Linked DNA regions of Macaca mulatta. The protein of the gene in region 2 binds, or shares a complex with, the protein of the main gene of each other region. Links are inferred from orthologs where the notes say so. Each region holds a gene or a part of one and is shown on either strand. Other genes may lie near its edges.

Evidence for each region. The genes of interacting proteins can lie anywhere in the genome.
Region 1: the proteins of RAB1B (region 2) and TBC1D20 are in contact, whole or in part, in a crystal structure (PDB 4HLQ), measured with the Homo sapiens proteins. The link is inferred for Macaca mulatta from reciprocal best matches to the Homo sapiens genes RAB1B and TBC1D20. Residues at the interface, in NP_112243.1 of Homo sapiens: Ser17, Gly18, Ser36, Tyr37, Ile38, Ser39, Thr40, Ile41, Gly42, Val43, Asp44, Phe45, Gln60, Trp62, Ala65, Gly66, Gln67, Arg69, Phe70, Thr72, Ile73, Tyr77, Glu94; in NP_653229.1 of Homo sapiens: Gln97, Gln98, Leu101, Asp102, Arg104, Arg105, Leu107, Arg108, His141, Tyr142, Tyr143, Gln144, Gly145, His147, Asp148, Phe177, Met178, Asp179, Pro180, Thr181, Met182, Lys186, Val212, Ile215, Leu218, Ser219, Thr223, His227, Met272, Ala273.

The regions. Positions count from the first base shown.
Region 1 is NC_133415.1:83,693,741-83,698,277, reverse strand, and holds the start of TBC1D20 (TBC1 domain family member 20), read right to left. Parts: upstream 3,328-4,537; 5' UTR 3,218-3,327; coding exon 3,148-3,217; intron 1-3,147. UniProt on the Homo sapiens protein: GTPase-activating protein (GAP) specific for Rab1 and Rab2 small GTPase families for which it can accelerate the intrinsic GTP hydrolysis rate by more than five orders of magnitude. Also shows GAP activity for RAB18 GTPase.
Region 2 is NC_133419.1:8,144,975-8,150,024, forward strand, and holds the start of RAB1B (ras-related protein Rab-1B), read right to left. Parts: upstream 3,347-5,050; 5' UTR 3,253-3,346; coding exon 3,239-3,252; exon of another isoform or gene 2,390-3,238; intron 1,399-2,389; exon of another isoform or gene 122-1,398; intron 1-121. Other genes in the region: KLC2 (kinesin light chain 2), read right to left, coding at 4,974-5,050. UniProt on the Homo sapiens protein: The small GTPases Rab are key regulators of intracellular membrane trafficking, from the formation of transport vesicles to their fusion with membranes.

The sequences.
Region 1 (4,537 bases), on a different chromosome or scaffold from region 2:
TTTTTTTGAGACGGAGTCTCGCTCTGTCACCCAGGCTGGAGTGCAGTGGCCGGATCTCAGCTCACTGCAAGCTCCGCCTCCCGGGTTCACGCCATTCTCCTGCCTCAGCCTCCCGAGTAGCTGGGACTACAGGCGCCCGCCACCTCGCCCGGCTAGTTTTTTGTATTTTTTAGTAGAGACGGGGTTTCACCGTGTTAACCAGGATGGTCTCGATCTCCTGACCTCGTGATCCGCCCGTCTCGGCCTCCCAAAGTGCTGGGATTACAGGCTTGAGCCACCGCGCCCGGCCTGAACTGTTGTTCTTAATGGTTCAGATGAAGATGACACAACCCACTACTGTCTTACATTTCTCCCAACTCTGGCTACAGAATCCAGGTAAAGATTTCTGCCTCCTCATAGTAATAGGCATGTCCAAAATCACCTGGATTAGGGCACTTAATATACAGGGAAGGGACAATAACAACTAAAGATGACCACTATCCATGCCTCATCTAAAAGTTTTTTCATGTATTTTTCCATATCACCAAAACAAATACGAACTTGGATCAACTAATTTATATAATGGAATCTCGTGTGAGAGTACAAAATTCCATACTGATTATTTGGTTTAAGCTTGCATTATCATAAAAGCTTTACAGTCTTTAAACTGAAGTTAAGCTCACATTAAGCAATGCTAGTCTTAAAACAATGGAGGGTTGGGGACGTTTTCTGTGGAGGGAAGGAGACAGACATCCCCCTACACCCACCCACAACTCCTGACATTGACATTGGAAATTAACTTAAAAATTTATGCCTGTAGTCCCAGCTACTCAGGAGGCTGAGGTAGGAGGATCACTTAAGTCCAGGAGTTGGGAGGTGACAGTGAGCTTTGACTGTGACACTGCACTCCAGCCCGGGGGACAGAGCAAGATCCCATCTCTCAAAAAAAAAAAAAAAAAAAAAAAAAGCTTTAACTCCATGTCTGTACCAGAAGACCACAGCAGGAGACCACAGAGACTCTTCAGTCTGGGTAAGAGTCCTATTAAACACAAAATAAAACAAAGTAGCCTCTGTTTTTGGAGGTCTTAACTAGTAGTTTCTACAAAACAGTATCCAAATTAGCAAAAATTCTGTTAACTACCTGGAACATAAAGCAGGTTATAAAGACTTAAGAATGTTTCACCCCTATAATGGAAAAAAACCAGTCTAGTGAGTAAACCAATCTGATCATAAACGCTACAAAAGAGGGATAAGCATTAGGAACTTTGCCAACAATACTCTGATATGATTAAAAAACAAAACAGTAACAAAAACAAAAAACCTCACTTTTAAATTTGTCCCATTCATCCAGAGAAGCAAAATCAAGGAAACTAGAGGCGGTAAAGTCTTGCAACAGACACACAGCTGCACTGCCAACAGGTCACAAGACCCATGTTGCCTAGGGCATTGACTATTATGCCACTGAGGACAGACATCACACAAACACCAGTAATGAAAGGGTTACGGTGCCAAAGGGTTCAGAGCTCCATCCACTTTCATTCAGTATCAGAACATGAGAAAAAGGGAAAAAACAGAAAATGAGCCCAAATAAAATATAAAATAAAATATGAATACCAGCAGCTTCCTCAAAATACGTGGGTTGAATAACGTGTTTGGCTCTGTTATGGGTACCATCCATCAGAGGACTGGAAATGGGGAATGTCACCTTAGTCTTCCTCAAGGAAAAAAGATTATTTAACTTGGTTCACGGTGTACATTCATAATTTTAACTGTCATGTATTTATTGAATGAAAAACATTTGAGAACATAATGTGCAACAAAAACATGAGTTCACAGAAATGGTCCAAACTAAAAGAGTATAAAAATAGAATCGCGGCCGGGTGCGGTGGCTCAAGCCTGTAATCCCAGCACTTTGGGAGGCCGAGACGGGCAGATCACGAGGTCAGGAGATCGAGACCACCCTGGCTGACACGGTGAAACCCCGTCTCTACTAAAAAATACAAAAAACTAGCCGGGGGAGGTGGCGGGCGCCTGCAGTCCCAGCTACTCGGGAGGCTGAGGCAGGAGAATGGCATGAATCCGGGAGGCGGAGCTTGCAGTGAGCTGAGATCCGACCACTGCACTCCAGCCTGGGCGGCAGAGCGAGACTCCGTCTCAAAAAAAAAAAAAAAAAAAAAATAGAATCGCTTTGTATACAATAATTTACTCATTATTGAGATAGGGTCTCCATCTGTCACCCAGGCTGGAGTGCAATGGCGCAATCATAGAGTAGCCTCCAAGTCCTGGGTTCAAGCGATCCTCCCGCCTCAGCCTCCTGAGTCGTTGGGATCACAGGCTCAAGCCTCCACATCTGGCGTTAAAAAAAAAACTTTTTGTAGAGATGAGGCCTCGCTATGCTTCCCAGCCTGACCTCGAAATCCTGGCCTCAATCGATCCTCCAACCACGGCCTCCCAAAGCGCTGGGATTACAGGCGGGAGCCATAGCGCCAGGTCGCTTTTACACAACTAATCAACATTAAAATAGGTGGCAGAAGACAGACAGAAAGTCTATTTGTGGTTGCCAGGCTTCGTGAATACTGGGGAATGGGGAGTGCCTGCTAATGGGTAAGGGTTTCATTTCGGAATCAGACAGCGGCGATGGCTGCACAACTTTGTGAATGTGCTAAGAATCACTGAACTGTGCACCTTAAAGGGAGAATTGTATGGTAATTAAATCGGCGGTACGCGGACAGCGCGTCAATCAAGCCGGCGACAGTGAATGAAGTTCGGGAGAGCTGATTTCCCTCGGGGAGGCGGCTCCGGGAGTCTGCGAACGTGGCGGACGCCTGGGACGGGGTGGGCCTGCCAGCGCTCGGGGAGTCCCGGTCCTCTCCAGACGGAAGAAAGCCGGGGCGCGGAGCTCCCGCCCGCTCTTCTGCCTGGGGACGCTACTCTGCCGCCAGACTCCCTCGGGTCAGCTCGGCACCCGCCCGAGCCCCCCCGTTCCAGGCCCTCTCCCCATCAGACGTGCCTCGGGCCCTCCGCCTCTTCCTCTCTCGCCGCCCGGAACCCCGCCGCAGCCCCGGGTCGCCAGCCCGCGCCCCTCCGGCACCGCCTCCGCCACCAGCTGCCACTGCCCCCTGGGCCGCCCTCGCAGGCCGCTCCCGGCGCCCTGGTCGGCTTCCGTACCTGCCTTCTCCGTGCCGCCGTCCCAGTGGCTGGAGTTGGGGCCGTCGCCCTGCGCACTCCGGAGGGCCATGCCCCGGGGGCCCGGGCCCCCACCCGAGCCCCGGCTGGTGGCGGAGCCGGGAGAAAACGCGGCTCCGACCGCTGGACGTAGCGCCCGCTCGGCATCGGCAGGCTCCGCTCGGTCGGCCAGCGGCGCGCAGGCGCGAAGGCGCCCCGCTGGCCCCGCCCCGCGCCGGCACGTGACCTTGCGCTACGCCTGGACGCGGAAGGAGGGCGGTGAGCGCGCTGAGCAGTTAGTTTCCTCTGCGCTGTAGACTCTACGGTGTAGAGTGTGGCGCTTTTGAACGAGTGTGCTCAAGACCGGCTGTCATTTCCTTTGCTTCTTTCATCTGTTAAATAGTATAGATGATAATAAAAATATTGAACTCACAGGGTTATTGAGAGTGTTTAGAACATTACCAAGCATATAGTAAATACTCCACAATTATGACAAATCTTTGCTTACCAAGGATTTTTATTTTTTTTTACCTCCTGTCTCATCTCCCCACACGAACTCCTGTCATCAGTTCTTGGGTACTTGGGGATCTAGCAGGTTCATCTCATACGGGTCCGCAGGTTATGCACTGCACAAGGCCTGGGAGCGCCATTCACGTAGACGTTCATGTGAGCAGTGCCCCGCTTACATTGTGCAAAATAGTGGCCACTCATCTAAAGTAGCACTCTGGCTTATCAGGTCTGATTTCCTTCTCGTCTCCAGTGACGTTCCTTTCTTTCCAGTTGGACATCCATTCCCTTACTTACGTCCCTGATACTGTGATTGTGGCCTCCCGAATTTCTAGTACTAGCTCTTTATGCTGAGGTTCTTATAATTCCAGTTGCTTGATGACTCTCTTCCACCTCCCACCCCCAACTACAACAGTTCTTTATTATCCTGAGACCTCCAACCCATGAAACTCCTGACCTCGTGATCCACCCGCCTCAGCCTTCCAAAGTGCTGGGATTACAGGCAGCCACCGCGCACAGCCAAATTTTACAGTTTTATTCATAAATCTAGTAAATTATATCACTTATTTGGTCCCATTAATAAACTTAGCTAATTAAAATTCTTTGAACATTTGAAACTGCATTTATAAATTTAATTCATTTTTCTAAGTATCAGTTTTCTGTCTAGCAAAGCCTTTCAAGTCCTTGTGTAATTCTTGTAAATATAATAAATTTATAAGAATACTGAGTCATGAGTACTTTTAAATGTGTCAATACAAATGAGATTTCATCTTAAAATCAACAGTCTGAATCTATTATTCAAATACATATTTGTAATTAGTACAAGAATAATCTATTAGAATTCTCAAAATTCTTTCTTTTTTTTTTTTTTTTTTGAGACAGAGTC
Region 2 (5,050 bases):
CAGGCTGCAGTGCACTGAAGTGATCACGGCTCACTGCAGCTTCTACCTCGCAGGCTCAAAGTGATCTTCCCACCTCAGCCTCCCGAGTAGCTGGGACTTCAGGTGTCCACTACCACTTCTAACTAATCTTTTTTTTTTTTTTTTTTTTTTCTGAGACGGAGTTTCGCTCTTGTTGCCCAGGCTGGAGTGCAATGGCGTGATCTTGGCTCACTGCAACCTCCGCCTGCCAGGTTCAAGCAATTCTCCTGTCTCGGCCTCCCGAGTAGCTGGGATTACAGGCACCTGCCACCATGCCTGGCTAAGTTTTGTATTTTTAGTAGAGACAGGGTTTCACCATGTTGGCCAGGCTCGTCTCAAACTCCTGACCTCAGGTGATCCACCTGCCTCAGCCTCCCAAAGTGCTGGGATTACACGTGTGAGCCACCACATCCAGCCCCTGGCTACTCTTTTTATGTTTTGTAGAGACGGGGTCTCACTATGTTGCCCAGGCTGGTCTCAAACTCCTGAGTTCAATCGATTCACCTGCCTTGGCCTCTAAAAGTGCTGGGATTACAGGGGTGAGCCTGGTCATCCTTTGGTTTAGAATACTATGGTGCTCACCAGATCTTCCCACCAGTCCCGGTCAGGGAGGGCTGATGCCCCCCTCCAGAAAAAGCTAGCCCAAAGGGCTCTCAGCTTGCTGAGTCTAAATTCTCACTTTATGGAGAAAGAAATCAAGACACAGAGAGGGACGTGACCTGCCAAGGCGACAGAGCTGGGTATCCTACCCTGATTTCTGAGACTTCATGGTTTGGTACAGTAGGGGCTATTTAGGGAATCCCCAGTACATGACCTGTGGTATGCCTGGCTTGGCAGGGGAGGCCCCAGAAGTAGAACCCAGGGCACAGTCTAGAACTTGTTAAGTGAAAAACCCATGTAAAGAGACTGATGGCCGGGTGCTGTGGGGTGTGCCTGTGGTCCCAGCTACTGGGGAGGGTGAAGCAGGAGGAGGATCCCTGGAGCCCAGGAGTACATGACCAGCCTGGGTGATGTAGCACGACCCTGTCTCTCTCTTTTTTTTTTTTTGAGACGGAGTCTTGCTCTGTCACCCAGGCTGGAGTGCAGTGGCCGGATCTCAGCTCACTGCAAGCTCCGCCTCCCGGGTTTACGCCATTCTCCTGCCTCAGCCTCCCGAGTAGCTGGGACTACAGGCGCCCGCCACCGCGCCCGGCTAGTTTTTTGTATTTTTAGTAGAGACGGGGTTTCACCGTGTTAGCCAGGATGGTCTCGATCTCCTGACCTCGAGATCCGCCCGCCTCGGCCTCCCAAAGTGCTGGGATTACAGGCTTGAGCCACCGCGCCCGGCCATCTCTCTTTTTTTTGAAATGGAGTCTCACTCTGTCACCAGGCTGGAGTGCAGTGGCACGATCTCGGCTCACTGCAACCTCCAACTCCCGGGTTCAAGTGATTCTCCCGCCTCAGCCTCCAGAGTAGCTGGGATTACAGGCACGTGCCATGACACTTGGCTAATTTTTGTATTTTTAGTAGAGATGGGGTTTCATCATGTTGGCCAGGATGGTCTCGATCTTCTGACCTCGTGATCCACCCGCCTCAGCCTCCCAAATTGCTGGGATTACAGGCGTAAGCCACCGCGCCCAGTCCACCCCATCTCTTTGGAAACAACAACAAAAAACCTGTTATGAAGTCACCAGGAAGAGGTGGTCAAGTTGCAATGAAAATTGCACTTAAGGCTGGGTGCAGTGGCTGACACCTGTAATCCCAACATTTTGGGAGCCCGAGCACAAGGATCATTTGAGCCCAAGAATTTGAGACCAGGCTGGGAAACAGATGGAGACCCTGTCTTTACAAAAAATTTAAAAATGTGCCAGATGTGGTGGTGTACCTCTGTATTCTCAGCTACTCAGGAGGACAAGGCAGGAGGAATGCTTGAGCCCAAGAGTTGGAGACTGCAGTGAGCCATGATCGTGCCACTGTACTCCAGCCTGGGTGACAGAGAGAGACCCTGTCTCAAAAAAAAAAAAAAAAAAAAAAAGGTAAAAGGTAATCACATTTAATAATATTAAGTTCCAACTTGTGACTGTGTGAAGTCACACAGTTGAGTTCCCTGTGTGAAGTACTTCAAATGCATCATCTCATTTAATCTTCACAACAGTCCAATGAAGTCAGTTTTATCATTGTCAACTAATGAGGAAACCAGAGGCCAGAGAAGGGAAGTGACTTGCCCTAACTTACACAGTTTTTCGCTTTAAGACTCAAACCAGGTTTGTCAGACTCCAAAGTCCCTGCGAGAGCCTGCTGGTTCCCTTCTCTGTTCCCCTCCCAATCCAGCTCAGAGCTTCACCCTTCCCCAAGGAAATCTGAGACCTGGATGTGGAGGAGAAAAAGGAAGTGGCAGAAGAGGAAGAAGATAACTGATACTTGGGGAAAACTATTAGTCCTGGGCATGAGATGTGGGCCACCTACCCGCAGAGGGAGTGACCAAGAGTGAGGAGAGTTTGAGGACCAGAGAATCCCGCTGGAAGGGGGAGAGCAAATTCCATATTCATCTAAACTTCACAAGCAGTGTGACAGCCAAGGGAAGGGGTGCGACGGTGGCGTTGGGGGCCTGAGCAAAAGCGAGGAGAGGGCGGGAAAGGACGGACCGTCGGGAGCGACAGGTCAGCGTAACCCAGGCAAAGGGTAGGAGGCAGCCCCGGAAGAGAGGACCTGCGGGAGACGGGACTCAAGCGGCGCTTCGGGGCCTCCCGCTTAGTTGGCCAGTTTCTGGGCCGGCCCCAGGAGCCGGGCTTCAGGAGAAAGAGAAGGGTAGAGGGATTCACTGCCCGACCTAAAGGGCCCGAGCCTGAACCCGAGACCAGAAACTATCTAAAGACGGGCTCCCAAACTCCAGGACAGTTGTCAAGCAGCAGGTGGGGAAACTGAGGCCTGAAGTGACCGGGACTGCGGGGTCATCTGACCGATAAGGCCTGGTAGGGCCGGTGTCTCGGGCTCCAAGAGCTGCCCCTCGGGGTCGCCACGTCTGGGCCCCGGGTGTGAGAGCTCGGGGTGTTGAGCCGGGGTCCTGGGGCCCCTGGGGGGAGGGGCAGAACCCGGATGTGAGGGGGGGGGGTCAGCGGAAGAGGGACCCGGATGTGGGGGCGCCGCACAGTCCTGACCCGGGCCAGACAACCCCGGTAAGCGTACAGCCCCGTATTCGGGATCGAGGCTGCGCTGGACGGCGCGGGCGGGGCTCACTCACTATTCGGGGTTCATGGCGGCGGCGGCGGCCCGCTCGGTCGCTCCCAGTCGGCTCTGCTCCGCCTCCCGTTCCAAGATGGTGGCCGCTCCGCCCCAGAGGCCCCGCCCGCGACGCGCAGGCGCAAACGTCCTCTTCTCAGGCCTCGCCGCGCTGGTTCTCGGAACTTGTAGTCTGAGACGTTCTCCAACTCAGCCCCGCTGCGCAGGCGTAGTCGGGGAGCCCGTGCCTCCGCGCCCACTCCCATCACTACTGGCGCATTGCCTTCTGGGGCTTGTAGTTTGCACGCCGGACGCACCTAGGCTTGAGCACGATGCTGGAAAGCCTGACGGCGTCTCGGTGTTTAAAAAGCTCAGTTTAGAGCTGGGCTTGGCACGTTTCACATCTGTCTGACGGAGACAGTCATCCTTACCCTCCCAATACCCACGTTGTGAACATTAAATGAGAATGTGGGATCTAGCAAGACTAGTAAAAGCTCACTTGTCCAGGGTTCCTCGTGTACTGGGCACTCCTAACTCGCAGCCGCGTGTCATCACCCGCATTTCATAGATGAAAAAACTGAGTATCGGGAAACTCACTCAAAGTCAAAAACTTTGTGAAGAGCAGAGCTCGTAAGAGCCCGCGGTCTCCAGAACCCCACAAGTGAACGTTTTAGGGAAAGCCTGACTTGTGGGGCCCCCACCCAGTTCCGGGGTGGGCCAGAATATCTGGGCCCAGCTGCGCGGACAGCGGTTGAGCGAGACACACTGTCCCCCACTCACGCGCGACCCTTCCCGGCTCCACCCGTTTAGAGACGCGGGGGCACCCCGACCTCCGCCTCAAAACAAGCCCGGCTCAGATTCAAACCGTCTTTATTTCTACAGCAACATCTGAAAATAGAGAGCAGCCGCCTCACCCGCAACAGGGGGAGCCCCTCCTGCCACCAAGGGACCGTCGCCGCCCCTCGCGAGAAGCTGCAGGCGTGGGGAGAGGCGTGGCAGGATGGCTCGGTGGGCGGTGCCCGGGGCGGGGTCGGGCCGTGCCTGGGCGGGGCCGGGCGGGAGGGGCAGTGCATAAGGCCGGGATGCGGGGCAGGGCCCGGCGGTGGGAGGACTGACTAAGGGGAGGTCCCCGTCCTGGGGCACGGGGCGATGGCGGGGTAGGACGCATCCCTCAGAGGCCAGGAGGAGCGCGAGAAGGTCCCGGGAGCCACTTAGGAGGCGCCACTCCCGAGAATGTGGAGCCTGGGAGATACCACCGCACGGAATGGGGGTGATTAAGGCCTGGGCGGTACCACTAGAGGAGGGACGAGGGGAGGCCCGGGTAGTACCGTGGACTGAAGGGTGGGGCGCGGCCAATAACTTATTTCTCTATATACAGAAGCAACGGCCGGGTTGAGTTGGGAGGGAGGGCGAAGGTGCCGAAGGGCCGGCGAGTGCTTAGTGTTCTTGGCTCTGGGGTCTGGGGAGGCCAGGCCACTGAGTCTATGGTGGAGACTCCAGCCGGCACCTCCTGCTGGCCCCGAACCTAAGGAAGAGGGCCCTGCTGGAAGGAATAAATAAGGGATCGAGCTGGAGTGGGCAGGCCCAGCCTCCAGGGCTCAGGCTGAGATGACAAGGGAGAAGGTTACCCTGAGATTGAACAGAAAAGACAGGGGCTGTGGGAGAGACAGGCGGGACAAGCAGCAGGCCCATGCGCAGGGCTGGGGTGAGGGGGGTGTGCCAGGTGGGCGCTCTGGTGACTGGCTGCCCCTTCAGCATTAGCCCACCAGGGAGCTTCGTCGGGAGAGGTCCATGGAGCTGGAGCTGAGAGTGCGGCTGTCAGAGAGACCTGTGC